4 linked regions of the Astyanax mexicanus genome follow. The main gene of each other region encodes a partner of the protein of the gene in region 3 in a complex. Links are inferred from orthologs where the notes say so. Each region holds a gene or a part of one and is shown on either strand. Other genes may lie near its edges.

Region 1 (7,729 bases), on a different chromosome or scaffold from region 3:
GGAGATCCTCATACAGTCGATAGAGAGAGAGTTCTCCTCATCCTCATTGCGATGGTTATGACGAGAGACATGCCTCTGCAGAGTAGCAATGTCTGTTACGTACTTCATACTGAAAAAGAGGAAGGTATACACCACCCGTTACATTTTAAGAAAAATATGCCAAATAAACTGTGAAAAGGGGAATACATAAGAATTAAAAAAAAAAAAAAATCCTTACTGGGTGATTTTATCATGAACCCACTGATCAGTTAGACCAATAATACTCCACCTGTCAAATACACAAGAGTCACAATCCCATTTCTATAGAATGAATACTGATGTATTAGTCTTTAGTTGTCCAAACACCTACCAAAGCATATCTTTCGTGTCTTTGGTCATAACCCAGGCCAGCTCAAACATAACCATAGAAGCCTAGAAAAAAGACAAAATAATTAAGGCACTCAAACACTAAGACATAATCCCAATATTTAACAGCCCAATGTTTACCCACATCAACAAAAAACAATCACTGTTTTATAAAGCAAAACATAAAAAAAAATATTTTAATGGTTTTTTTTTTTTAATCCCATTTTTCTCCAGTTTTATTATGCTGATTACCCCACTCACTTAGCTGCACCACCCCAAAACTAGGAGGATAAAGGTACCAACAGCAAGCATGAACCTTTTCGGGCATGTTAACAATTAATTGAACCAATTTGGATGGACAGAGAGAAGCATGTTTTGAAGAAAAAAAAAAAAAGGTACAATGAATTTTATCTATATTGCTAACATCAACATATTAGTAAAATCCTAGTCAAGCCATCATATCATAGATGTGAATACTCACCGAAGTTCCGTGATACTCATACTGCTCGTAGTCAAACAGAATCTCCCGCCTGCAAACACACAGGACCATTAGGAGGTTACAAGCATGTTTGTATAAAAATAGCATTATGAACTGGACTACTTGACCAGTAATAGATATATGGCATTTATTCAGTCAACTCAGCATAACTGACCTGCGAGCTTCCCACTCCCTCTTTGCACGCTGCCTTTCGATTCTCCTCTCCAACGCACCCTGAAATAATAAAGGTAAAACTGAAAATCATTAGAATGGGAAGGAATTACAAATATGGGAACACATTTCTTCAGTGACTGGGTCCAGAAGAAGAAAACCTGCCTCGTCAAACCGCCGCCGTTTACCAGATGGCTCAGACCCGCCATCGCTTTCATTCCCAGAATCCCCTCCATCACCGTCCTCATCCTCATCTTCGTCATCACGGAAAATGTCATCATACGAGGGCACTCCAAGATCATCATCTTGTTTAATCAGCAGCTTAATCTAAAGCAACAATACATTTTAATGACATAATTTAAGATCCATAAAACACAGATTAGAAAAAGCAATTTAATAAAATTCTATTAAAACAAACAAAAGAAGGAGCACCTGGGTGTCATTGTAAACATTGACAACATCAACAGGCCTGTGGGTATCACAAATGAAGAAGACAGAGTCCTCTTCAGGCTGTAAAGTCTCAAGCAGGTCCACGTTTGCCCCGCAGTTAATTAGGACAAAATACTGGTACTGTAAAGAGAGAGAAAACATTTAAAACAACATACAGTACCCTTAATGTTAATGACTATTTAAAGATGTTCACAATGTTGACTGACATTTTGACATGCATCAGTAACTACATGAGAAAAACAAAACAATACAAACAAATAATCATATACTGTCAGATACTAAGTAAAGGGTCTGTGAAATTGTGAATGTCCTTCTAGAATGACCAAAGTGATCTACCTATCTAGGCCTGTCAAAATTTCTATTGCGATAAACAATGCTAAAAATTGTAATTTTAAGACTATTTAATTGTCACTAAAATAATGATAACAGAATAACAAACCAAGTATACTCTTATTACTCCACAAACTTATTACTACAAATTTAAACATTTCTTATTTATAATCTAATTTAACAAATTTATGCTGCAAATTTTATTTTATTTATATAATGTTTACTTAAAATTATAATCAAATTTATTATAAATCTCTCCTTATGTTCAAATAAAGTGATTTTGAATTGAATGTACATTTATTGTAAAATAAGTTGATAATGTAATTATCGTGAGAGGCCTGTATCTACCTTATCTATCGATCTATGCTTAGAAAAATGTATTGTGTAGCTAGTTTTTTGTTTTGTTTTCTTAATACAATAGAATAGTCATGTGACATAGGTAAGTTATGTTTTCTCTACGTAGAACATGTGTACACCTAGCTAACGTTAGCTAACAATAACTAACACTGTTAAGTTACCTGTTCCTTATGTTCCAGGAAAGCAGTGCCAAGGTCCTGCCAGCCTGTCACAGGAACAAGAGTGTACTGGACATGATCACAGTGAAACAAGGCCTAGAAAAAAACGATAGGGTTAAAATGAGATAAATTGACTTTAACTGTTTAACTACCTTTAACTACCTCGGATCTACACAAGGAATTTATCCCGACTAGTGAACCTGGTTATTTAGGCTTGTTACTTATGAGCTGAAAGACACTAACCTGCAGTATTTTACAGGCACACAGCGCGTCAATATCCGCGGACACAAGCAGGGCCACTCGCTTAAACACAAAAACATATTAAAAATTAGACATTAATGTACCTAAATACACATATAAACTAACTCACACACCACAGAATTCAGCGAGTCAACGTCAAAAAAGGGTAGATAGTTAGCTAGGTAAGGTACAATCACGGTCGCCCGGCTAACACTGCATAGCTAGTTTAACTAGCCACCGGGTTAAACTCGACTAAACTCTTTTATAACACGTTAAAACGAGAAACGCCTCACCTGATTAACCACAACATCATAAAACTCTTTCCTAATATCGGTAACAAACATCCTAAAATCTCAAAAACACATAAAAATCCCCTCAGTCCCGCTGCAGGCTCGGTAAATCAGCTTGTTTTGCTAATTCTCGCGACTTTCCGTCCAGAAACTCTGGCGCCAAATTCGTTCATACAAGAGGAGGCGGGCTTTGTCGCAGTGTCCAATCAGGTGACAGCTGTTACATCTTGTCAAATCTGCAAGCCCTAACCAATCAGATTCACTCCCTGAGTTAAAGGAGGCGGGTCGCACAGATTGTCAAACCAATCACTAAACTGCTCGTATTTAATGGCTCAAGGTGACATTTTGTACTCGATTTTATTTTATTTTATTTTTTTACGCAGCATCGTTGAAACAGATACAGATATTTGTTACGACAAATATAATGAGTGATGTTTTATGCTTTTGTTTAATTTATTTACAATATTGCATACATATTTGTTAACGCAGTGTTAGTCAGTGTCAGTGTTAGTTTAAAGAGAGCCAGTATGTAGAGAGCCTGGCCACTTCTTATCGCCCTATTTTAATCTGATTATTGGTACGAACCGCTAGAGGGAGCCAGCGAACGAGACCTCAATGGACGTAGAAAAATATAGCTAAACGGCTAAAAACTCAAATTACGTATAGTAATTAACTACCTTTCCAATATGTTTCCGTTCATTTTAAAAAGTAAAATAAAGTATTGTTTTACAGAAAATTGGATTTAAGCAGTAAAGGCCCTAGCATTGCTGCTACTGAGTGCTGACTGGTGAGTTGCTGAGATGATGCTGAAGTATCAGGCAGAGCAGGTTTAAAGGCTTATAACTGGATTTTAAAGCTTTAAAAGTATATATATATATATATATATATATATATATATATATATATATATATATATATATATATATATATTTATATATATATATACTTTTAAAGCTTTATATATTTTATATGTTTGCTTAAAGCACGTGTTCACATACCATATATATCCAATAAAAATAAACGAAAGTAAATAAACAAACAGCAACAAAAAATATGGGATTCTAATAAAACTTAAATATGCTTAAATATCGTTTATCGTTTTAACTTTAATGTCTTTGCTGTGAATTTTACTTATTAAATCTGATGATCATTTTAGGGAAATTATCAGCACAATTTAAAATTATTTGGTAAAGGTAATCAATTTTAAGTGTATTTCTTGTTGAATTTATTTTATTTATGGAGTCTCTGTTCTATGAACATGAATGTATATGAAGTATATGAAGTTATGAGCTATGAAGTTATGAAGTTATTAGTTAAATTTGTTAGTTGATTAATTAGATGTGATGTTAAGATAAATGTTTTGCTCAGTTTATTGGTTTTATGGTTGTTTGTTTTATTTTGTATTTCCAATTTGTGTATAATATATAAATAGTATATAAAATGTATAAAATATAAATAATAAATATAAAATGAGCTTCTGTTTGGAGTAATTTGATGACGGCATGGCGTTGCAGTGATCTGATTGGGCGGAGGTGTTTTGTTGTGGGGAGGCGTCACATCCTGTATACTCAGCGTTTCCCTGGGAAGAGGATAGTAGTGTGTTTTTGTACAGTAGCGTTAGTCTGATTTCTGCAGTATTTCTGAGAGAAGTAAAGCGTATTCAGACAACATGGTGGGTGTTGGAAGCTTTGCCACGTTTGTAGCTGATGAATGCGGGTGGTGTGCTGGTTTAAATAGTTAGTTGTGTGTGTTAAAGAGCCGGTAAATCTACGCTAGGCTAGCGACTAAAGCTGCACTGTCACTGTCAGCCCTTTTGTTTTTGTGTTCTCAGTTGAAGCTGCTCTGTAGTTTTACTGGGTTTGGTGAAACCGGGTGTTCAGTATTTTAGTTTCAGGGTGTAGTTGAAGATATGAGGTTCCGTAGCTGTTAGTTGTTGTGTGTAATATTATAGGGGTGAATGTAATCTAGCGAGGTTAGTCGGTAAGGCCTGAGATCAGCCCATCATTTCGCTAATCTGCTTTATATTGTTTTTACGTTTTCAGTTTTCCTTCAACATGTTTGATCACCCGATGCCTCGGGCCTTCCAGAACCGCTTCTCCACACAGTACCGCTGCTACTCGGTGTCGATGCTGGCGGGACCCAATGACCGCTCAGACGTGGAAAAAGGAGGAAAAAGTATTACATTTACAGTGTTTTTGTGTGATGATTCTTTAAGACATGATACTATATTCTGTGTCTTATTGTAGCGAATGTTTCAAAAGAATTCACATTCATTACTCAAGTAGAAATATAGATACTAGGGTTTAAATACTTCTGTAGAAGTTAATTAGTATCTCCAGCTGGCAAACAACCGACCTTCAACGGTAAAATGTGGCTGAAATATGGTTGAAGTAACGTCTGTTTTAACATTTAATGTTAAGTGGTTGTGAAAACGTTAAAATTTACACGTCGAATCAACATAATGTCCTTAACCTTCTGCCTTTTGAATTAGCATTTTACATTTCATCACTATATAAAAAAAAAGGATGGAAGGATGAAAAAGTGGTTTTGCTTCCATTTGCAGTAATTGCTTTTTAATTTGGCATCAATTCTTCGCCATACCTGGGGAAATGAGTATGTTCTATTAGTCTTACTGTTGTGTTTTTGAGATTAGACGTTTAATCTGATTGATAGTGGTGGGTAACATCCTTTTTACTCAGCTTTAGTGCAGTGATGTAAGTTTATAGTTCACTATAAACTATAGTTAACCATAGAATTTTCTAGTTTTTATGAGCTATGGTTTATGAAAGGTTGAATGTACACGCCATATCAACGTTGATTCACTTTTCAAAATCAACACCAAATCCAAGGTTGATTCAACCATAACATTAATGTTGATTCAATGTTGAAATGCCAGCTGGGATCAACTCAAGCTTTTTACTAAAAGTAAACGTGTAAAAAGAACTGAATTCAAAACTACTTAAAAGTATGAAAATAAAAGTAACATAAGGGGGAAAATGCATTAAGGACAAAAGCTTAGGCTGTGCCAACAGGGGCTTATAGTGCAGAACCCCATGTGGGTATGTCTTAGAATAGAGCTCCAAATAATGTGTTCCTGTATATCTTTATTTCCTTCACAATTACATGGTACAGTAATCTGTTGTGTTTGTGCACTTTTGGAGACACAGAGAACTGTGAATGGGCCCATTATCCTTCTCACATTGTGTGTCTGTCCCCAGCACTTTGTGTATTGTGGTGGCACTGCAGATATTTGGAGTTTTGAAATGACATTATGGAACCTGTACGTTTTGTCCATGGGTTCCATGTTGGCCTCACATATTAATGTTAGTGATGGGGCAAGGAGGGTCTAAACATGAGCTCCACCTGGGTTGTACACTGCACATGGGGCCTACTCATGTGATATTAATGAATCTAATCATGATTGATAACAACAAGAATAACATTTATTATATGGTATTTTTATATATCAGTTGACACAGTATAGGCATAGGTGTGTGTGTGTGTGTGTTTTATGTATATCCAGCGTAGGCTTAGATGGGCTACTGTCTCTTGATTGTACTCCTCTTGAGTGTGTAATACTCTCTTCCTTCTCTTGCCAGTTATAATGCCCCCATCAGCACTGGACCAGCTTAGTAAGTTCATAAGTTAATACTGTTTTCTAATACGAGACCACTGTACCACTGTAGTTGTATGAAATGATATGATGTACTGAATAAAACCTTCCTTATCCTTAAACAGGCAGACTTAACATCACATACCCCATGCTGTTCAAACTCACCAATAAGAACTCAGACAGAATGACCCATTGTGGTGTCCTGGAGTTTGTTGCTGATGAAGGGATCTGCTACCTTCCCCACTGGGTAATAAACTAAAACAAACACTTATTATTCTTGACATTATAGCCGAAGAGTGTAGTATTTTGTAGGTGCGTAAACTACTGTGTGTTGTTTTTCTTCTGATCCGTGAACTTAATATTGTCTTTGTCCCACAGATGATGCAGAACCTGTTATTGGAAGAAGGAGGTTTGGTCCAGGTTGAGAGTGTCAATCTCATGGTGGCAACTTACTCCAAATTTCAGCCTCAGAGTCCAGACTTCTTGGACATCACAAACCCTAAAGCTGTGTAAGTAATCCAGTGTAACAACATACTGCACTCAATAGCTAAGCTGTAAAGGAAATTAAAGGGGCACCAACAAAGCATGTAGAGTCTCTGTCGCTACATCTTTCTTAAACATGACCGCATATCTTTTTACTGCAGTAATATTGTGGAGAATGAAAAGGAAGCCTTTTTTGTTTGAAGACCCTGATGAAAACCCACTTTTTATTATGTATCCTGAAAGTGTGAGGACCCATTACAAGCATATTAAAGCAGATAATCAAGGGCAGGCTTTGTGAAATGTGCCCCACTCAGCTATCCAGTACTTTAGCAGATAGCTAACATTTACTACTGGGATACTGAATATCACTTCTGTATACAGCTCTGGAAAAAATAAGAGACCACTTAAAAATGATGAGTTTCCTTAATTTTACCAAATTGAAAATCTATTGAATATAATCAAGAGGAAGATGGATGATCACAAGCTATCAAACCAAGCAGAACTGCTTAAATTCTTTGCACCAGGAGTGAAAAAAGGTCACTCAAAAGCGGTGTGTAAGATTGGTGGAGGAGAACATGCCATGCATTAAAACTGTGATTAAAAACCAGGGTTATGAAACTTTATGAATATGAACGTGTTTTCTTTGCATAATCTGAGGTCTGAAAGCTCTGCATCTTGTTTTTTTATTATTTTAGCCATTTCTCATTTTCTGCAAATAAATGCTCTAAATGACAATATTTTTATTTGGAATTTGGGAAAAATGTTGTATGTAGTCTATAAAATAAAACAACAATGTTCATTTTACTCAAACATA
Region 2 (8,017 bases), on a different chromosome or scaffold from region 3:
AACTCAGGCCAGCACTCACCGCTGTGTGCGCTGAACCACCGGGGCGCGATGTGCAGGGGTAACGCGTCCGCCAGGGAGGCGCGGGAGCCCAGGTACAGCACGCCGTCCGTGTGATGTCCCGCGCCGTTTGTGTCCTGGTAGCCGTTGCCGTGAGCCGAGTCCGACCCGGATCCGCCGCCAGCCCGCTCCGAGTCTGTCGTCGCGCCCCGCGCGGTGTAAAACCCGAAGGGCACTGCAGCGTTGTGGTCGATCCCCATGCCGGCCACGGAGCTCACGGAGCGGCTGCGGAGCCCCATCGTTCCGCCGGCTCCGGCTCGGTAGTGGCCGAAGTGGGCCGAAGGCGGCACCGCGCTGTCGTCCGTCGACACGCCGGGAAAGGCTCCCCGGGGCCGCCCCGCCGTGCTCTGTTTGCCCCCCATCCAAGGTGGCCGTGGGCAGATGTGTGTATGTTGTGTGTTTGGGTGGGTGGGGGGTGTTGGTGTTGTTGTGTGGGGGGAGAAAAACAACAACAAATAACAAACTAAAGATGAAAAAAAGAGAACAAATCAGGAACAAGCTAACCTATGTTAATTTCGTAGGTTATATATTGTTAGGATAGCTCAGCCAGCTAACAAATAAAATGCGTCCTCAATCAGATCCTCCCTGGCTGTCAATAAAGTCTGTCTGGAGCAGCTGCTGCTGTGCAAAGCTGTGCTAAGAGACCCAAGAGCCCATCTTCCAGCATGCGACGGCGACCTGACCGTCTCGGCTCACCTCCAGCGAGAAAGAGAGGAGGAGAAGAAGCCCTGAAATCCTCTAGAAATCCCCTAGAACCGCCGAACACAGCAGTCTGACGAAGCCGAGACACCGCGCAACACGTCTCCCCCCGGCAGGCAGGCGGGCGGGCAGGACACAATCACAACACACACGATGACAGCCTAACAGCGACGACAGGTCCGCGGTGGGCTTCAGCTCTCAACCTACTTCCCTTATTCTTCATATTTCAACACCAACAGTGCAGTCCAGCAGCCATGGCATCTGTTGCTGGCCGTGTTTCCCATCGGCGTCGTTTCCCACGTCCCGCTCGTTCTCCGCCAGCGCGGAGATTCAGGTCAGTGTGCGCCGCTCCCTGCACTCACAGCCGTTACGGTTTTTTTCTCTGCACACCCGTTCTCCGACAAGACCCGCCTCCTGAGCCCCGATTGGCCACGTGCGCCCTGCCTCCTGCGTTCTGATTGGATACTTATTTCCCGCCTTCTGCGTTGGGATTGGATCGTGTTTGGTTCTGCTTGACGTACACATTATGTCCAAATGTTTGTGGACAAAATGAATGTATTTTTGCACAAGTTAGAATAATTTACCATACAAAACACGAAAGAATGTTTTGGGTTTTTTTGCGCTTGGTGTTTATAGGAACAGTCGAGACCCGAGCAGAAATACAGAGCTTAGAAAAAGTGAGTTTTGCATAATATGTTCCCTCTAAATTGCACATCATGCTGACAAATGCACACACATTTGCCTGTTCCCTGTGAAGAAGTACTGTCCATAGAAAAGGCATCACATCAGTACAGTATAACATATTTCCATTGGGTCGCAGAGCAGTGGAATTGTGTTCTGGAATAATGGGGATTCCATCTAAAATGTTGGTATCAGTTGGGCTTTGGGATCTGATACTTGCTTCTGGACTCTTGCATTTGGATTTGACATATGTTTGGATTGGATAGTTTTTTTGTTGTTTTGGGACTGGATGGTAGATTTTCACCACTTGCGCTGGAAATGAACAAAATTTCCTTGCTACCTGTGTTGAGATTAAATGGTCCCTTGCTACCTTCTTAGTTTGGATTGGATAGTAGTGTATTACCTTCTGTGCAGGTATTGGACAGTTTCTCACCCCCTGTGTTAGAATTGGACGGAAATGTCCGTCCACTTGTGTTGGTATTAGTTCTGGACCATGGTTTCACACCTTCTGCATTCGGGCTGGATAGTAGTTTTCTACCTTCAGCATGGGAGTGGAAAGTATTTTCTTACCGCCTCAGTATTCCCCGCCAACTCCCAACAATTATTTTACAGTTGAACTGAAAATAATTGGAATAAATAAATGTTTTATATGGTTTACATTAAACATATGTTCATCTGACTTATACATTTTACAGCTACTAATAAAAGCTAATTTTCTTACCTGAATAAGGCTTCTGAACAGTATATAAAACACGTGTGTTTTGTGTGTTTAGATCACAGTAAGTGGGCGGGATTGCCTGAAATCAGGCGGGAAAAAATCGTCTCGCTGCTGAAAGACAATGGAGGCACGCAGCGCGCATGCGCGGATTAGCAGCAGCAGCAGCAGCAGTGTCTGTGCAGAACTGCAGTTATCTCCCATTTATCTTCCAAAACAGCCCTGTTTCAACACAGCTGTGCTGTTTCCCACACAAGCGACTACAGCACAGCAGACTGGGGAATAAAACTATTGTTTACAGCCCTTAGTAAAGGGATAGGAAGAACTAAATATTAAACAGTATGATTTAATAATGCTAATGTATTAATGAAGTGTAACCTGTGACTGTGTTTTACATATGCCCACGATGTCTGTAATTATATTAGCATTTTTATTTGCAGCAAAGCTTCAGAAACTCCAGTAAGCATCTAGAGAAAAATACTTATTTTGTCATGAGTAAAAAAAGTAAAGAAATTAAATAATAATATAATATAATATTTATGCACACACACATATATACAGTAGATTCACCCTCATTAGACATGCACATGATAAGGTGTGTGTGTGTGTGTGTTGATTGGGGCTATATTAAATGGCATTAATTGATAATTAATTAGTTGATTGATCCTAAATAATGCATCACCTTCTCATTGTATTCTAGGTTAATGTTAAAGTCTCCTAAACTATAAAAAAAACCACATGGAATTATTTAGTAAGACAAAAAAATGTTAAACCATAGTATGTTTTTTTATTTAGATTCTTCAAAGTAGCACCTCTTGTTTAAAATCTTGGCATTTATCAGTCAGCTTTATGAGGTAGGCTAGAATGGCTTTCAGTTAACAGCTGTGCTGAGTTAATTCCTCGAATTACTTGAATTTCTTGCCTGTTAATGTGTTTGAAAGGATCAATTGTAAAGTTGTAAAAAGGTTCTGAACTAAGTAAAACACAAAAATACTTTAAAAAATGAAGGTCAGTCAATCCAAAAAAATTTTTTTTTTGAAAGAGCAGTCAAGTGCAGTCGCAAAGACAATTAAAAAACGCAACGATGAAACTCGCTCTCATCAGGACCACCCCAAGAAATGAAGAGCATGAGTTACCTCTGTTGCACAGAATAAATTCATCAGAGTAATTAGCTTTAGAAACCGCAAGTTAACAGCTCCCCAGATAAGAGCACCAAAATGCTAGTATGAGTATTTTGGTTTGTTTAAAACTTTTAAGTTACGAAATGATTCCTTATGTGTTTCTTCATATACTTGATAACTTTAGGATTCATTTGCAATGAAGGAAAATATATATAAAAACAGTAAATGAGAAGGTGTGTCCAAAATGTATATCATCACATAATTAGAGAGGCTGTCTGGATACTTTTTATAACAGTGTAAGGAGGTGTAATTGAGAAACATTGAGAAACTGCTCCATCTTCTGGACAAAGTGATAACATCTCAATCTTCCTCAAACTAATCAAAACACATTGTTTAATTATTTAAATATGATCACGACATGCTAACACATCCCCACGTGCTCTACCAGGCTCATGCGTCATTGGAATTCGTAGGTTTATTTACGTGTGTTCCGTCACAAAAGCACTAAAAAACAAGGTCTTAAATGGACTATTCTTCCTGCATAGTGCATTACACTGATCATAAGCCCTTTCTGTCTACAGTACATTTTATGCCATTTGTGTATCTACATAGGTTATAAAAAAATAGTAAAATAATAAATAATAATAAAATAAATAAATATAAAAAATAGTAGCTAAATAACCTACCATTAGAGAATTACTGGCAGAAATAGCTGTTGTATGTTGAATCAACGTTCATTGTGCCATCTTTAGTGTGTTAAAACATTTTCAATGTCAGAATTGATTTATTTGTGCACATCGATTGTCCAGGAACGTTCCTGATCAATTTCTAAGGTAAGCCTAGTTGGTTTGTTTAGTATAGCTGCTTTTTACATTATATAATTGAACCATTGACATGACCACAGTTAACACGGTAGTACTAAATATAATAAAACCACTGACAAAAGTACATGTAATACAGTACCAGTGTTTTTCTTTAGTTCTTTATTAATTTTTTTCCTACAATGTAGATTAATATAATATGATATTACCAAATGCTGTATCTATATCTACTGGAGTATTATTTTTATTCCTACTTTAACTTTTATTTCACGAGCTACTTATTATGGATGAGTTTAATACTTTTACTCCTATAAATCTTTATGTACTGCATCATTACTCCTTACAATTATAAAAAAAAACGAGGAATCATTCCAAACCCACATTATCACTAAAACCTCCTCATCACTGAGTGAATCAAGAGATCAAAAAAGAATCTGATATTAAAAGAAGAGCTCGCTGCTCCTGTTCTGCCTTTCACTCTGATAACTTTCCTCAGCTTTCTGTAATAACTACACTAATAACACAGTACTGTACTTTTACTTTCAGTACTTAACTTATGTATTTAACCATAAACTATGTGCAATACTTAAGTACAAAAATGTTGAAGTGTGATGCTTTTATAGAACAATCCAATTTGTACTTAAGAGCACTTTTACTGTTACTCAATTTTTTGGTTCTAGTACTTTACTCCGCTCTTTATACGTGTCTGATTAGACGAATCTAAAGTAAAAAAAAAACATATTCTGGTTTGTTAAACACTTTTTGTTTACAGAATATTTCCACACGTTCCTGTATAGCTTTAATGTATTCAATATTAATTTTACAATGTAAAATAAATATATAAAACACATTGATTAGGAAGGAGTGTGTCCGAACGTTTGACTGTTACCTCTGTCATCGATTGCTCTGGCTTGCTCGGTGTGATCTGGGCTCTGTTGTTATGGTTGGAGTCTGGCGCCAATTTTTGTGTTCTGTGAAAGCTCTGAGCTCTGTGTGTGAGACTGGTTCAACGTGTGTTTATCCGTTTCTGGGTGAGGAAGCAGTGTTATTATGGACACTCAGTCCTACATGCCCGTGTCTCCGGGGGTGGGGATGGAGGAGAATTTCCTCTCTCTGGATGATATCTTGCTGTCGCAGGAGCGGCTGCCCTGTAAGACCGACACGGAGTTTCCAGGACTCGGATTTCTGGAGAAGAACGCAGACAGTCGCCACATACCTGAGGTGAACCAGCTAACCTAGCTAACCTAAACTAGCCTAGCTATTCTAGCCAAGCTGCCTTAACTAGCCTTGCTAAACCTTAATTAGTCTAGCTGTCCTAGCCAAACTACCTTAAATAGCCAAGCTAACCCAAACAACTTACACTAAAATACACACTATATTTAACTCTCCCAGGTCGGTTTGGTGCCAAAAGGACGTTTAAAAAACTTTAATATTTGCCAATTCTGCTGCAAAAGTTGATAATAGATTTGTAACCTAGGTTTCTAACTAGGTTAATTTGCTAGTTATTGAGTTATTAGAAATATCTAACTGTTACTGGGCCTCAGCAACAACTAAGTTAACTGACGCCTAATAAACAATGTTAACTTAAAGATTTGTAAAAGTTTGTTTCCCCATAAGTGGCATTAAAATATATAACCTAATGCAATAAAAAATCAACAACTCTTATTCAATTCTCTTTGCTGTCAGGGGAGAAAAGGCTTATGGTTTTCCATGTCCGTATGCCTATTTGAAAGGAACATCCTGCATTGATATTGTTGCATTGAAAAATCCAGTAATATAATAAAATAATAAGTGGTAGGAGCAAAAAAAAAAACCCACTAACTTATCATATGCTTTGTTTCATACAGTTTCCATGTTTTATTTATGTAAAACGGCATACAAATGGGTCTTTTAATCTTTAAAGAAAAACGGTTAAATTCTCTTGATCTTGGAAACATGCTTACACTTTGCTTTATATCTCTTTAAGTTTAGTACATTTTTGTATATATTTTTGTAAACATTGGTAAATATGTTACATATGTTACATGTTTTTCATAGTTTTAACAGGGTTCACATTGTTGTGTTGCATGGAATTAAATGAAGAAGTCAGGGAATTCTTTTATATCATTTATTTGTTCTAATATGTTAGTATTTTTTAAAGTTTTGACTAAGATAATAATTTTTCTTGCATTAAAAACTCTTATAATGCTGTTAGCTTTGAGAAATTAGAATAAATGACTGTAAAGAAGCATATTACAGTATTGCAGTGAAAACTTGTGTGAAAACAATGTGTAGACATTTTATTTATGAATATAAAGATTTTAAAGATTAAAAAAATGTAAATACACTGTCATGCCAAAGTTCTTGGGACAGCAGGTAGTATCTATGGACTTTTGCCATGGAAGCTAAAAACACTGTACTGACCTGTGGGATATGTGGGGCCTCCTGCATTGTGTGTGGATGTTACCAGCTTAACTGTGTACAAAAGTGTCATTTGGCCAAAATGTTGTTTATTTTAAGCCTTACCAGTCTAGCCAAGCTTTTTTGAGAATTACAGCCAAGTGTATGTTTACATAACATACACTGTTGTGTTATAAAATATAAGTAATGTAATTGTCTGGTTAATTCTTCATGTAAACACTAATATTTTAGTAATGCTAGGTTGTATATTTCTTAAACATTTACAACATTAGTACAAAGACAGTTTTGTTTATTAAATAAAATTGTAATTTGTTTCAGCATTTACAGATACAGTATGGTAATATATTTTGGGTATGTGTTGGCGTGTTTTCTAGGGCACGAAGATGGAGATGCCGCTGTGGTTGGCTAAGGGCTTGTATGAGAGGAAGCGGCGGGTGATCTCTGTGGAACTGCCTAAAGTGTATCGCGAGGGCTGGAGGACAGTGTTCGGAGCTGATGCCAACGTGGTGGATCTTCACAAAATGGGACCTTACTACTACGGTCTGGGTTCGCAGATGCTTCACTTTGACAGCCCAGAGAACCTGGAGATCGCTCAGACTGTTCTACAGGTGAGTTCTTCCCTCAGGGGAGCCTTTAATACATGAAAGCAGTTCCCTAAAACAGGGCTGAGTATCATTACAATGCAGTGATGATAGAGAATGACAGCATCTGTCGGTTTGTGGGGTAATCTGTTCATAATTAAAAAGGTGTAATGTCGGGAATGGGAAGGTGTTGATAGGCTGGAACAGAAGCTAACACTTTTTCAGGGCAACTGGTACAACAGTCTGTTGATAAACTGAGCAGACTGGGTTTAATTAGTGAACATTACCTCAGGAATGCTTTATACATTATACAGCATTTCTCAAAAGTAGATAAAGCAGCACAGCTATCAGAGCTTCATGATGATAATTATGATGATTATTCGTCCACAGCCCAGACTTTTTCTTGCTACTCTTACCGCTGCAAAGAAAACTGTTTTCTAGTTCTGGTTTAACCCCCGCTTCCCTTATTCTGTACTTAGCTTTCAATACTCTGCTCAGTCGTAATTCATAAATGATCATGCACTAGACTCCAAGGAGCTTTAGGTAAAATTATTAACATGTGGTCAGATATGGTCATCATATCAAAGTTTTTCTTCTTCTTTTACATACATATTTATTCATGTTTATCCGTTTCACCCGTATAATGAATTTTGTTTTAGTGTAAGTATGTCTATTATTTTCCTGTTGCTATAACACTTTGTGTGTACTGTACACCTACTGTACATCCTCTCATTTAGTGTTTTTATGTTTTTTATACATTGTAAATTAATATTGACATCATCCAGACTATGAAGGAACAGATATAAAATCATTTAGTAACTTAAAAGTGTTAAGCAAACCAAAATATTCTGTGAAGTATTTAGGTGCTCTTATCTAGGGAGCTGTTAACTTGTGGTTACTGAGACTGGTAACTCTAATGAACTAATCATGTGCAACAAAGGA
Region 3 (6,964 bases):
AAATCTAGGATTAATGTTGGGTAGCAGAAACAATAAAGGTGATTATACATGTTAGGAGCTGTTTTTAATGCTGTGGCTGATCTGTGTTTGATATGAGTGTGAATTAAGTATTAGGCAAAGTATATAGAGCTTTTTTTTATAGGTTTGATGCTTTTTAAAATGAGAATAATGTGATGTTCTAAGTTACTGAGTTTAAATGTGAGATTTAATAGAGGAAATGAACTGAAGACTGAGAGAGCGAGCAGTGATGTGTCGACAGTTTGGAGAAAAATGAAGAGTGAATGAAAGTAGTGAATGGCTCAGTAGATAAACACACACTCATTAGGAGAAATGTGAAATCTACTAGGAGGTGAAAGTGCGTAGCTACACGCTAAAAACTGAAAAATATTTCCAATATTAGCATTTCTTCTTCGTGTGTCGTGTTATTATATTTTATGATGTTCTACAGAGGAAAGTTCTGCAACAGAAGGTTTGGAAATGTTGTGTGATGCTGCTCTGAGCTCACCTGAAACTTCTCCTTACAGGTTCCCACATTAACATCAGTTCCCCAGATGACGAGTCTCTGACCAGCGGCCTGCTCACTGGCTACAGCAGCTTCTCCAGACGGCTGATAGGAGGAGAAAATTCACACTGATTAACACACACACACACTAATAACTCAATACTAATCAATACAACACTGATCTAAACTAATCGAACTAATCAAATCATAACTCAGACTTTAACACTCACCGTGTCAGAGTTCAGGTCCACTTGCGGAGCCTTTCTGACAGACCCCAGATCAGGTCTCTGTCGAGCCGGCGTTCCTCTGCTCGGTGTGTCGTATATGAGAGGAGAGCTCATATCCACTTCACTCTGAGGAACTGGATCAAACAAAGCATTTAGTACATATTCCTGTTTCTTTCTTTATGCATGCGTCTCATTTCTGCTAGAATTAGACCTTTAAGTATCTAGAATTAACCCCTTAACGCCTGTTGTTGCAAATATGCGACTAACCGTTTGATTCAATCAACCTGCCAAGATAGCGCCTGCATTCCCCCAATGCCTGTTAGTGCACCAACTGCTAAATAACTTTTCTGTGCTCCAGAAAATACCCAAAGCTCTAGCTGAGTACTCTCTCCTGAACCCTGGCGATGGATGGATAGATAGATGTAGTACCGGAGCGTCGGGGCATGGGGCTGGAGAAGAGGGAGGTGTCCTGTACCGCGGGGCTCTGCAGGTCTGTACCCGGGGACGTCGGCATGGGCTGCAGTTCTCCTGTAGACGGCTCACGAGCGCGAGGAGACGGAGACAGGACATCCTCACTACCAGCTAAAATCACACAAACAAATAAAACAATTAAACTATTAAAACAACAGACAAAAGATCAGTGACTCCATATACACAGTGTGAACAGACTGCAGCAGGTGAAGAAATAAAATATAGATCTATGATTAATTCAAATGTTGTCTTTAAGAGTATAATTGCTATATTATGCTCTCCCTTATTATGACATCAGTGGTATTTAAATAGTCATAAAATTATAATATAATTTATAATATAGATAAAATGATTTACAAAATATAATCGTGACAGTACTTGTATTTACCTTCAAATACACGAAGGTTAAAAGTTAACACTCTTCATCATGTTTTATTACAACCTAAGTGCATTTCACACCAGATTTCTCTTGTAAAATAATAAATAAACTGTATTTAAACTCACGGGTTGGAGGATTGCTGCTCCTGCCTCGCTTGCGGGCGCTCGAGGATGGGGAAGACATTTTGAACACTCACTAAAATAAAAACATTTTTACACATAGTTAGTTAATGTTAAATCAGTAAAGTAAGCAAACAAGCAAAGTTTTTTTTTTATTATTTCCACATGAAACAAAGAGCTAAAAAGAGGCATTACAGTCAAATCCAGGTCCGGAAAGTGCAAATCCACTACAGTATTTCGCTCCAGCTGCCAAGATTTGCACTTTTTTTATTTAAAAAAAAATTACTAATTTTAGTATATAACAAACTTCACTAAGTTAGTATTTTTATTCTAAACCGCCCTGGCAGTTGGGGCGAAACACCGGCGCGGATCCAAACTTTTCGGATCTGGATTTGCCACTTCTAGTTGCTAGGTAGATAAAATAGTTTTTTTTTTTAAATAGTGGATTGGTAAAACGAGTTAAAATAATAAAATGGTCGGGAAAGGACAAATCCACTCCGGGATTTCGCTCCAATTCCATAAGCAGTTCATAATGAAAACAGTAACTTAATAAAGTAAAATAGTGAAACAGTGGATTAGTACCGTCAGAGTTTGTACAAATAGTAAATTTAGTCCGGAAAGTGCGAATCCACTCCGGGATTTCGCTATAAATTCATAAGAATTGAAATACTGAAAAAGTAAAACAGTGAAATTGTAAAATAGTTAATAGTAAAAGTGGTTTAAAATAGTAAAATAGTGCGGAAAGTGCAATTCCACTCCTGGATTTCGCTCCAACTGCCTGGGCGGCTCTGCTGCAGCTCAGCTGCAGCAGAGCCGCCCAGGCAGTTGGTGCGAAATCCCGGTGCGGATTCGTACTTTCGGGACCTGGATTTGCCACTACTTGTTGCTGGGCAGATAAAATCAGTAAAATAGTGTATTTTAGATGTTTAAACATAGATAAACATCAACAAAACGTGCGTATTTACATACAGATACATCGTTAACTACATATCAATATTAAAAACACCTTTATTATTATAACAAAACATCAAAATCCAAAGTCTTACTAATTCAACTAACTTTATTTAACGTTTTTAATATTTACTAATTAGTGATTAGTAATTCCAGCTACGTTAATCACAAAATCACACCTTATAATTATAAAGAATCGCTTTAAAACTCTTGTTTTAACTTTTGCTTGTTTTTAAATTATTCGCGTTTTTTAACACAAAAGAAAAAACACGAGGAACTTACCACTGCGGATCCTTCTCTCCAAATACATGCAGAGTGGCGCGAAATCGCTGGCGTGACGTCGTTTTCGCGGGGAAATTCTGACCAATCAAACAGACGTGCAGACTTGGAACGATCCACTCCATATGTACAGAGGGAGGTAGCTAAATAGATATTGTTGTTTTAAATCGATATTAAGTGTTTTTAACAAAGTTACCAACTAAAAATGACTATTTATAAAAGTTTTATACAAAATATACCTTACAAAGTTAAAAAATAAAACTAAAGTTGCGATTTTTAATCAGTGTTATAAACAAAAGCTTTGTTTCACATTGGTTTGATCCACAGTTTTCGCGGCAAATATCGACGACAAAGAAGAGCTACCACGTGACTTAAATAAGGGGTTGTTATTTAACCCTTTATGGTAGGAATTATATATTTTTGAAGGAAAAATACGATTTTTGAAAGCTAGGGAGTCCCTGTGAATATATCAAATATAATCTAAATTATAAACTAATCATTTAAATCAAAAGTTATAGAGCAAGGGAGCATAAAACACTAGTTTTTACAAGAATATAGTAAGAATATAAACAGACAAATATATATATATATTTTTTTTTACATGTTCTTGCACACATATTTTAAAAAAATACTTTTATTAATAACTCACTTGTGCGTCTCATTGTATTGGAAGTAGATAAGCCATGTAACATTGCATTAAAAATAAATAAACACGTTTATAATTATAGAAAAGAAAATAAAGCATTTTTTGCTACAGAAGTCCTTTAAAGCTAGTGATATGGAACTTAAAACATTCAATTAAAGCGATCAAATTGTTGAAATAATGGGAACAGGGCTGTAGAAGCCGAACAATCTACTATTTAAAGGAGCTAGTTTTAATTTTACCTTCATTATGTAAATTAGATGACATTAAGGGGTTAATGTAAACTCTTAACAGGCCTTGGCTCGAAAAAGGGCTACAAGAGTTGGTCATAGAAAATCCTTTTCTGTTCAATGAAAGGTTTGGAGGACATGAAATGTTTGATTTTTCAAGAGTCAAGAGTCTTTTACTGTCATTACATATGAGTCCAGGTACACAGTATAACGAAATTGCGTTTTTTCTGGAACTGTAGTGCAAAATGGAACAATAATACAATAGACAACATAAAGTGCAAAAGTGTAAAAATAGTGCGACATAAAACTATAACACTACAATAAATACAGCAGACGAGACAGTTTAACAGACAGGACAGTGCAGTTATTTTCTTTAGGAATATTTTAGGAATATATTGATTTTTAAATGACTTTTATTATCTTTATTTATTATTCAGCATTTGACAGTTGAACATTTTAAACATTATAAATCAATAAATGACACAAAATTAGTATAAAGTATAAAATAAAAAACAATATATAGCAATAATTACACAAAAACTTAAGTTCAGTAGTTTGCCTCTTTTTTTATTTCATTATAATTTATTAACTTGTTTGCATGGACATCCTGCTGTCTGTCTCTGGCCCTGCTCTCAGACAAAACACACACACACACACACACACACACACACACACACACACACACACACACACACACACACACACACACACACACACACACACACACACACACACACACAAAAAGGGAACAGACAGTTCTGGATTGGGATTAGTAACACCAGGAGGGAGTGCCAAAGGAAAACCCGTAAAAACCTGTAATTTAAGCTGCGGCCGCCAGGTGGCGCCTGTTCTAAGAGCGCGGGTCGCCATGTGCAGCCTTTAAATACAGGATCCACATGTTCCCAGAGGAGCCAAATACACTGCATTTAACAGCCTTTACAGACTTATTATATACAGTTTAATATCAATTATAATCCCACATCTACCTTTGGTTTGGGTCTCTAGCCTTTCATTATAATAAAGTGATGAAAATTAAAATAGCACAAAAAGTAAGGACATTTGTGTTTGGTAGATTTTATATTACCATTTGTTTGTTGTAACTTTGCTGCTTCTTGGTGATAAATCTTATAACATTGGAAATCCTGATAATTACTGTTTTAACTGAAGCAGCATTAGTAAGGAACATGTATTTGTGGGATGAGCAGCAGAGCTGAGTACGTGTACCCATTACAAAGTCTGCCCAATAAATCCTCTCTGCCAACTAAAAACAGTTAATTCTGCCATTGATCCGTTTGGTGTTTGATGATCTTGGAGTATTGTCTTCTAGTATCTGACATCAACATTTATCTGGAACTCAGCCTTCAATTTGGAGATACTAGTACCAGGGCTTACTCCAGATGATGCCAATAATGCTGCAACCTGGTTTTAAGGAACATCAGCTTGAAAACAAACAAGGTATGAAGCTGATTCCTGGAGCAGCAGAACTACTGAGCACTGTATCAGAGCCCATACTCACAGGTGCTGCCAATTAGGTGCCAATCAGGGGCCTGAGAACCTGGGGGAGGAATAATCTAAGAACAAGAAGAAATAAAATAAAGCAAGTGAAAATAATTCTCCAGTAGAAACAGATACAGCATTTTAGTCCTTAAGTACAGTAGTGAATCAGTTCTACTTGGTTACTGTAAATATCTGCCAAACAGCAGGTCTACAAACAAGTGCTAACATGTATTAATAACAGTGTTATATTGTATAATCTGCTGGTGTAGCTAATAGAAGTGTGTCCACTAACAGTGGATCAACACCAGCAGATGACATGTCTCTCCAGACCATCACTGATCATCAGTAAGTTTTACATTTTAATTTGAAAAATCAAGGAAGCAGAGTCTGGAGGAAGAGTGGTTTGGAGAGGCATGTCTGTCATCTGCTGGTGTTGATCCACTGTGTTTTATTATCAAGTATAAAGTCAGTGCAGTTTTGTTTTCCCAGCACTTACAGCACTTCATATAAAAAAAACTTTTATGGAGATATGATTTCATTTTCCAGCAGGACTTGGCACACTGCCCAATTTGAAATCTGAGCTCTGAGACACTGATTTTTTGGGTTTTCATTGGCCGTAAGCCACAATCAACAATAATTATCAACAATAAAAGAAATAAACGCTTAAAATAGATCATCCTGTGTGTGATACATCTATAAAATATAGAGTTTCCCTTTTTTTTTTTAATGCACTAGTTTATGTGTGAAGAGCATGCTAAAGGAAGCAGCAGCAGCAGCAGAAGAAGAACAGGAACAATAAGCACAGGTTTGACATTTCACGGTACAAACTTGAGCGGTTGAGACTTGTTGCTCCTCGTCACTGAAGTTTACTCGTAGTATCGTGGTGGGCGTTCCACACACGCATCCAACCAACCAACCAACCAACCAACTAACTACCCACCCTGCTCTCGTGCGCTCCGGGTGGGAGCTGGGGCACCACGTGTCCGGCGCTGGCCGTGACTGGCTTGGGGAAGGGGGCGGCGGAGGTTTGACGTAGAGGAGCAGCGCTTACTTATTTACCAGGAGCTGAAGAACCGCTTCAGAGCAGAGCGAGGAGAGGAGCGCTGGAGACACGGTGCTGGAGATACGAGGAGATATTGATAAGAGTTTTAGATGAGAAATAAAAGCACCTGCTGCACAACAGCAGAATAGCAGCAAGTTATTACCTTCAAGATACCTGCTGATATATTAAACACAACTTGTAATTGGAGTTGGAGAAGTTTAGAAAAAAGTTTAGGAGTTGGAGAAACTTTGGAATTAAAAGAGTTGAAGGAACTTTAAGGACTTTGAGGAGCTCGCGCTCTCTCTCTCTTTCTCCTGCGCGCTTCTTCTCCAGCCGCAGTTGTTCTCAGCTGCGTCCATGTGCGACACTTACAGCCCGGACTCGCGGTGCGTGTCGCCGCCGCCATGCAGCCTGAACTGGGCGCTGGAGACCGCCAACTTCTACGAGAGCAGGCCGAACTGCGCGCCCGCGGACGGGAAAGCCGCCGGGGCTCCTCCGCGGCCGGAGGACCTGGAGGACGGTATGGGCGGCGGCGGCGTGGTGGAGCTGAGCAACGCGCCGGCGATCTACGACGACGAGAGCGCAATCGACTTCAGCGCGTACATCGACTCCATGTCCTCCTCC
Region 4 (6,987 bases), on a different chromosome or scaffold from region 3:
AAGCAAACAGAGTAAACCATTGAAATATTTAATATGTGACTTCTTTACAGCAGTCCAATAAGTAAATGTCAGTAATGACAATGTCAATAATAAGTCCTCAGCAACATTGTTTTTGGAAATGTTTAGAAATGGCTATCTGAAGGTTTATTAAGAACAGTCTATTCAGGTGAGATACTATTCATTGCTGTGACATACAACTCCAGAAATAAAAGTAATGCCACATTATCCATGCAGGCTTAAACTTAAACTTACTGGTTTAGTAGCAATTTGGTCAATTCCATGTAATAAGCACTGGGGATGGGAGTGAAGGTGTCCTCTTTTCTCTCCTGCTCCCTGATTTCTTCCAGTTTATCTAAAAGGCACAGAAAATTGAGAGATTACATAAAGCTATGGGAAACATGATCAAAACACAACAGGCTGTGAAGCTGTGAAAGGCTGTCAGGTAAATGTATGTTAATAGATCCCAAGCAAAATTTAAACAGGATCCAATTTGTGTTAGGTAAATGTTATTGATTGTTTATATTCATGTGAAACATAACTTCATAAGTGAAAAAAAAACATGCAAAAATGGGCATGGGCAACAAAGAGGGTTCCCAACAGTCTGTAAAGTACAGAATCAACCCAAACTTGTAACTAAATACACATTCCTAAATACAGACAAATGTTGTTGTGTATTTTACAAGACAGCTAAACTGAATAGTTATTCCTCAGTCTGGATGATCAGCCTTCCTACTTCCTAATTAATAGTGTTATGATTCTCTGTATCCCTACAATCAAAGCAGAGTAAACTTTTTTTAATGAGAATTACTTGCTTCGTTTAGAAACAGACAGATGCTAAAGTAGGAATGATTATTCTAGACCTGACTATAAGTGTCTCTGTAGTGTGTTTAGGTGCGTGTGCAGAACATTTGTATGGAGAATAAAGTTGGTAATAAAGGCTGAGCAACCATATTCTAACTGCTTCCTCTGCACTGTATATAAAAGAAAAAAAACATTCCATTTTGACAGGCTCCTTTCATCTGTAGCTCGATTTTTTATTATAAGTATTATCCTTTTGTGTCAATGTATTCCCCTTAATGTAACCTACAGTATGTCACATTGTTCACGTCACTATTTGCGTGAGCCAAGGCTCAAGACTTACAATAATATTAAAAAGGGTTCATTTTATCTGAAGGCCAGGGCGAGAAAGAGACTTAAACCTTCAATCCTAACCACTGAAAGATGTAGTGCGACCACAACTCAACTCTAGAAAGACTTTTATTATTTTATCCCTACACCAGAAATTTGTCTGCAACAGTAAAATCGCTTGAAAATAGTTTGGTGTATAGTCGGCATAAGTTTCATGTGCATTTAGAAGTAGGGCTGCAACTAGTGATTATTTTGATAGCTGACTAGTCTGATGATTTTTTTTTCTGCAATTAATCGGTTAGCCCTATTTAGAAGGGGTAACCACAAACATTGGGACAGTGTAGGGGTGTGCGATATTGTATCCTACACAATAATATTGCCTACATTTTAAATAGTGTGAAACATTGTGCCATATCACTAACCCCTAATTAAAACATCAGTGCATTACTTTTTTGCGATATTTCCCAAAAGAACAATTCACGCTGTTTTCATTTACAACTATAAATCTACTAGAGACAGACTATATCTGTCCAGTATAATTTTTTTTTCTTTAAACCTGGAAATATGGAGATATTTGGAGTGTATGATTAGTATGACATTCTGGATTATTGATGTCTGTTATAAATCTGATAAATCTTGTATTATTTAATATCTCAGTTAGGGGTGTGCCATATCATAACACATGCAACCGTAAAAATTAAAAAAATAATAATTTTGTTGTTGTAGTACCATAATCTTCTTCTTATTTTTTTTATCTGTGTTTAGTCATATCGCCAAAAATACTGTGATATTATTTTAGGGCCATATCGCCCACTCCTAACAGTGCAAGGAATCCAAAAGCTATTAAAAGTTATAAACTGTGAATAATGAATGCTTAATTATTTTAGGAAAGACCCAGAACCCCAGAGTGAGGATTGGTTACCTGCGTCCATCCAGTCTGGAGGAACTATCCTGCATTTCTGCCTCTGCTTCAAGTTCAGGGCCAGCCAGACCGGCACATCCACCGGCAGCCCGGGGTTAAACGGACCCAGATCCCCCTACAAATATACGATCACAACACAAGAGCTTATAAACAACCCGGTGTTGTGTCGAGTTGTGCTACCTTGTCAAACCGTGCTACCCTAGTGGTATTTAATTTATATAAAAAGGTCAAAGTAAAAAAAAAAAACATATTAGAAAATACTCAAAGCAGAAGCCTAGGTGAGGTAACGTTATGTGGATAGGCTAAGTTAAATCACTGTAACGTTAACGTTATCAGGTAAAATAAAAAAAGGTAAGGTCATACAACAATATTGTTTTTTTTTTATCTTTTATTGTTAATTATTATTTTTAACTGCTATTTACAGTACAAAAATGCAAAGATGATGTTTATTACCCAAAAATAAAAAGTAAGTAAGTTAATTATAGAAAGAGTACAAAAATAAACTTTTGGTCGGCGCATGCGCAGTGCCGTAAAAAAGCACATATCGATGGGTAGCATAACTCGACAGAACACCGGCGAACAGCCCCATTAACCCCCAAAACAGCGCTGCTGCTGCTGCTGTCGGATAAACACTTAAATGTATAAGTTTATAACTCGCTAAATTAACTAGAGTTAACTTAACTTACGTAACGCTAGTTAATCAGGCAGCCTCTGAGGGGAGACTATGCTAAGCTAACACACACTAAACTAACGTTACTCACCCCGATTAAATAGATCTTATCCAGGCTAAAATTCGGGATAATCTTCACCATTTCCTTCTCAGCGAGGAATTCCACCTCAGACGGATCCATGCTTTGTTGAAATATCGACGGAAAAGCCGAGAATAATCCTTAAATCCCCCGAAAACTCAGCTCCGCTTTTCCCGCGGATTGTTCAGACAGGCTGCGTGACGTTACAGCCCCGTGGTTTAGCCGGAGCCGCCCCCCGTTATATCAGAACCCGCCGCTAGAGGGAGCCAGCGAGGAAGACCTCAATGAATGGGAGTGAATGGAGCACCTCAGTTTCTGATTTTGCTACTTATAGGTATAAGTTTGAGTAAATTGAACATTGTTGTTTTATTCTATAAACTACGGGCAACATCTCTCCCAAATTCCAAATAAAAAAAAAACATTGTCATTTAGAGCATTTATTTGCAGAAAATAAGAAATGGCTATAATAAAAAAGAGAGAGATTCAGACCTCAAATAATGTAAAAATAAAAGCTCATATTCATAAAGTTTTAAGAGTTCAGAAAGTAATATTTGGTTCAATAACCATGGTCCCATAACTGGCACAGCATGTGCACTAAATGTGCTCCTCTGTCTGGTGATGGTGCTGAGCAGAGGAAGGTGTTCAGCAGCTTGCTGAGGGCTCTCCTCTCTGCCAGTGTGGTTAAGGACTCCATATCTAATCAGCTAAATTGCAAAAAAAAAATAATAATAATACAAATAGTAAATTAATACTACAAGAGATTCCTTTAATTGTAAGATTTAAAATACATTATTTTGCTAATACAATGACCTGCATATTTCCATGTTTCTTAAAAAAATGTTTTAGGCAGTAAAGGTGTTTGCATTACTGCTACTGTGAGCTGACTGGTTTTAGTTTAGTTTATTAAAAAAAATCCAAAAATGTATTGGTGGAAGATTTAGCTTATTTTGTTATTTACATAACTAATATACATGTCTGTTACACTGTGAAGTATCACAAAAACAAATAAAACAAACAATCCATAAGAAACACCTTACAATTTCATATATGCAAAATAATTCCTGTTTTGTACTTGTTTACCATTTGTTTAAAGGTTTATAACTGGAGTTAGCAATGATACAGTTTATATTTTTCGATGTTGAAGAAATTAGTTTAATTGTCAGTGTACAAATAATCAAACATTTATAAACTCTGTTTTCCATACATTTTGGACAATAATTCGTCACAAACCCAAGTGGGTTTTCTCACTTGGTCCTTTGGTTTAGCCTGTAATCACCACGTGACCTAGCCACCAGGAGGCGACAGAACTGTGATTTTGTTTTTTTTATTTTTTTTAGTTATTGATTTAGTTTTTTTAGTTTGTTGTTTTTTTTTTTTTTTTAAATAATAACCATGATTTGGAAATAGAAAGTTTTATACTCCTGTAGAAACTCTCTTTATTGCTGAGAGAAATAATAAAAAATGTGATTCTGTGTCGAAAAGGGTGCACAGTACTGCAAATAGTACATTCCATCATGATTTACTACTGATAGTTTAGGTATGCTTTCATTGGTTATTTGAAATTTATAAATGCAGTTATTGTGGCTGTGTATTTTTTTTCATGTTTGTGATGGTGAGAATCTACATTCTATTTCTAATTTTATATTGCTTTTATTTATAAGCCATCGCTGCTCTTTTGTGTTTAATTTCATTGTTAGAGTTTTTAGTTCCTGTACTGCTTTTCAACTGGTCATGCTCCTGATTCCTCAAGTAAAAACAAACGATCCAAAACGACATACACAGCGACACAATACAATAAATAACCAGTATGACTGAAAGCAATACTGTGGAAAAAAATCAGTGGACAAATACATCCATGTTGCTGGTTCTTGTTTTAAATACCCATAAGACACAGTGTCAAAAAAAGAATGTACAAAGATTTCTTCAAAAGATTTTATTCTTACATTTAGTTTTACAAAAGCTAATTTCAATCATCTCAATCATATTTTAATAATGATATTAATAATTATATTAATCCTATCAGTCCTCAGTGAATATTACTGAATTACACAACTTCCAAATCAATCATTTTAACACAAATATCACCTGTGCCTTATTAAACTAAACTCATATTTGGTAGAGCATCAAAAATTGCTTACATATTAAGACTAATCTTCTTTTAAAGTTGCATCTTAAAAGAGGTATATACATTAAAAATATTAGTGAAATAAACAATTTTCTTTAACATAAACTCTGAACGATTATTTATTATCTCTGTAAGGCTACAGAATTCAGGGAAAACAAACAAGCAATTACATTTGAAAAAAAAAAACACATCTGAATCATTCTCTAGCATTTACAGTTGTATTGTGTATGGATATTAAAATAAGTCCTTCAAGCTGATGGCTTTACGCTTAAATGGACCTTATTTGCATTTAAGGTGGTAAATAATCTTGACCAGCCACTTCAGCTGAAATGGGAAAAATACGCAATGCTGCAATTTCCATCCCATTTTTAAAGGATCTGTGGTTGTGTTTCAGATTGATTAATAAAATTCAGAAATTAAAACACAAATCCAACCAGGTTAGTATGTAAGAAAAGAAAAGTTGGATCTGTGTTGATTCAAGTTATTTTGCTCAAAATAAACAATAAAGTGAAGTGGAAAATTAAGCTTTGTTAGTAAAAGAAAACTTAACGACGTGAAAAAAGTAGAACTGATCGTAATCTGCTATAAACCACCAAATTAATAAGGTTGTGCGTCAAATGGATGCATATAAATTGCTGCCTGACAACAGAAAAAAAGAAAAACAGACCAAAATATAAATCATGCCATGAAGGTCAGAATCATCTCAGACCTTCATTACACATGTTGTACCAGTGTCCTGCTTGCCCTTTAGAAATGCGTCCTTTCCATCAGCTTTTCCCATTGGGAATAATCTTTCTATGGGACTGAACTCAGTAACAATACGCAACCCATTTTGGCATTGATGGCTTGAACAGTACAGGAGATCTCCTCGACGGCTTCAGCATAGATGCAGCACAGATTTGTTGATTTCAGGATTTGTCCAGTCGTTCCTGAGGTCATCCAGGTGGTTGTCAAAGTCTATGAGGTTTTCATAGGACCTGTTTTCCAGGAGGGCTGACGTGATCTTCTGAGCTTCTGTCCAGTCTTCAAAAGAGTCTCTGAAATGAGATTCAAAATCCACAGTCAGTCATATGCAGATACTTATGCAAACTCTTGTAAAATGTTACTCAACACATTAAAAGATTCTAATTTAAAAAGCACTAAAACTACCCTGAGATTAGAGCTGGGCGATATCGTAAAACGATAAAATCTTGAAATTCTGCAAATTTATATGCAATTCTTGATTACAATTTAGATGTTTTTAGTTCCTTATGATACACATCAACTGATAAGACAGTTTTAATCAGTTTCTATTTTAGGATAACATAATATAAATAAATAAACAAACAAACAGCATTTACAGCTTTTTTTATTTATAAATTTAATTTATATTTTTTCCCATTTTCTCCCCAATTTAGCACAGCCAATTATCCAACCCACTCATTAGGACTCCCCCTATCACTAGTGATGCCCCACCTGCGACCTCCGCTCGTAGTGGCAGCGCTTTAGTCTGCTGGACCGCTTGGCGCCCAGCATTTACAGCCTTATATCAAGTATACAAACATTCATGTTCAAGGGAGTCAAAACTGTGCAAGCTCTAAATAAGATACAAACCTAACCCACTTTTAGTTAAAGAAAACTGAAACATATGAAAATAACTGTAAAATACACCGTATGAGAGAGTTCTTTAAAGGTATCTTAACAGAAACACAAGCCTATTACCTAAGATTCCCTCTTCCAGGCTCTAAATGTACATATCTACAATCTCGATTATCCTATTTTGAAAATCACATTAAAACAGTAATTTGATTAGTGTTAGAGTTAGAAGAGTTAGAGGCAAATCACACTAGTATATCTCCCAAAAATTCAGGGAAGTACCAGATTTGTGACCTTAATATACACTTTTAATCATGACTAACCACAAAATTAAAATATAAAAATATTATTTAATTTTGCCAACCTTACATTTCTTATTTAATTTACAATTAAATGTATTTTATCAAACACTTCACAGAATATTAGTTATGTATGTTTAGTGGGCAGACATTTCCTTCTGTAACTCACATTTTAACTGTGTGTTACGT

What was found.
Region 1: mcm4 (region 3) and cdc45 share a complex: the UniProt entries of both Homo sapiens proteins name them as parts of the CMG helicase complex. The link is inferred for Astyanax mexicanus from reciprocal best matches to the Homo sapiens genes MCM4 and CDC45.
Region 2: mcm4 (region 3) and gins3 share a complex: the UniProt entries of both Homo sapiens proteins name them as parts of the CMG helicase complex. The link is inferred for Astyanax mexicanus from reciprocal best matches to the Homo sapiens genes MCM4 and GINS3.
Region 4: mcm4 (region 3) and gins2 share a complex: the UniProt entries of both Homo sapiens proteins name them as parts of the CMG helicase complex. The link is inferred for Astyanax mexicanus from reciprocal best matches to the Homo sapiens genes MCM4 and GINS2.

Annotation. Positions count from the first base shown.
Region 1 is NC_064419.1:34,876,848-34,884,576, forward strand, and holds the start of cdc45 (cell division control protein 45 homolog), read right to left. Parts: upstream 3,007-7,729; 5' UTR 2,874-3,006; coding exon 2,823-2,873; intron 2,593-2,822; coding exon 2,533-2,592; intron 2,386-2,532; coding exon 2,293-2,385; intron 1,565-2,292; coding exon 1,427-1,564; intron 1,322-1,426; coding exon 1,160-1,321; intron 1,058-1,159; coding exon 999-1,057; intron 876-998; coding exon 827-875; intron 412-826; coding exon 350-411; intron 269-349; coding exon 218-268; intron 110-217; coding exon 1-109. Other genes in the region: ufd1l (ubiquitin recognition factor in ER-associated degradation protein 1), read left to right, coding at 4,489-4,491, 4,862-4,994, 6,419-6,451, 6,558-6,679, 6,811-6,941. UniProt on the Homo sapiens protein: Required for initiation of chromosomal DNA replication. Core component of CDC45-MCM-GINS (CMG) helicase, the molecular machine that unwinds template DNA during replication, and around which the replisome is built.
Region 2 is NC_064417.1:7,533,109-7,541,125, forward strand, and holds the start of gins3 (DNA replication complex GINS protein PSF3), read left to right. Parts: upstream 1-5,005; 5' UTR 5,006-5,144; coding exon 5,145-5,315; intron 5,316-6,868; coding exon 6,869-7,102; intron 7,103-8,017. Other genes in the region: E3 ubiquitin-protein ligase znrf1, read right to left, coding at 20-419. UniProt on the Homo sapiens protein: Required for correct functioning of the GINS complex, a complex that plays an essential role in the initiation of DNA replication, and progression of DNA replication forks.
Region 3 is NC_064413.1:413,015-419,978, forward strand, and holds the start of mcm4 (DNA replication licensing factor MCM4), read right to left. Parts: upstream 3,023-6,964; 5' UTR 2,932-3,022; intron 1,775-2,931; 5' UTR 1,763-1,774; coding exon 1,705-1,762; intron 1,312-1,704; coding exon 1,159-1,311; intron 864-1,158; coding exon 733-863; intron 608-732; coding exon 506-607; intron 1-505. Other genes in the region: cebpd (CCAAT/enhancer-binding protein delta), read left to right, coding at 6,698-6,964. UniProt on the Homo sapiens protein: Acts as a component of the MCM2-7 complex (MCM complex) which is the replicative helicase essential for 'once per cell cycle' DNA replication initiation and elongation in eukaryotic cells.
Region 4 is NC_064416.1:12,866,055-12,873,041, forward strand, and holds the start of gins2 (DNA replication complex GINS protein PSF2), read right to left. Parts: upstream 3,023-6,987; 5' UTR 2,902-3,022; coding exon 2,812-2,901; intron 2,166-2,811; coding exon 2,051-2,165; intron 353-2,050; coding exon 253-352; intron 1-252. Other genes in the region: emc8 (ER membrane protein complex subunit 8), read right to left, coding at 5,802-5,961. UniProt on the Homo sapiens protein: Required for correct functioning of the GINS complex, a complex that plays an essential role in the initiation of DNA replication, and progression of DNA replication forks.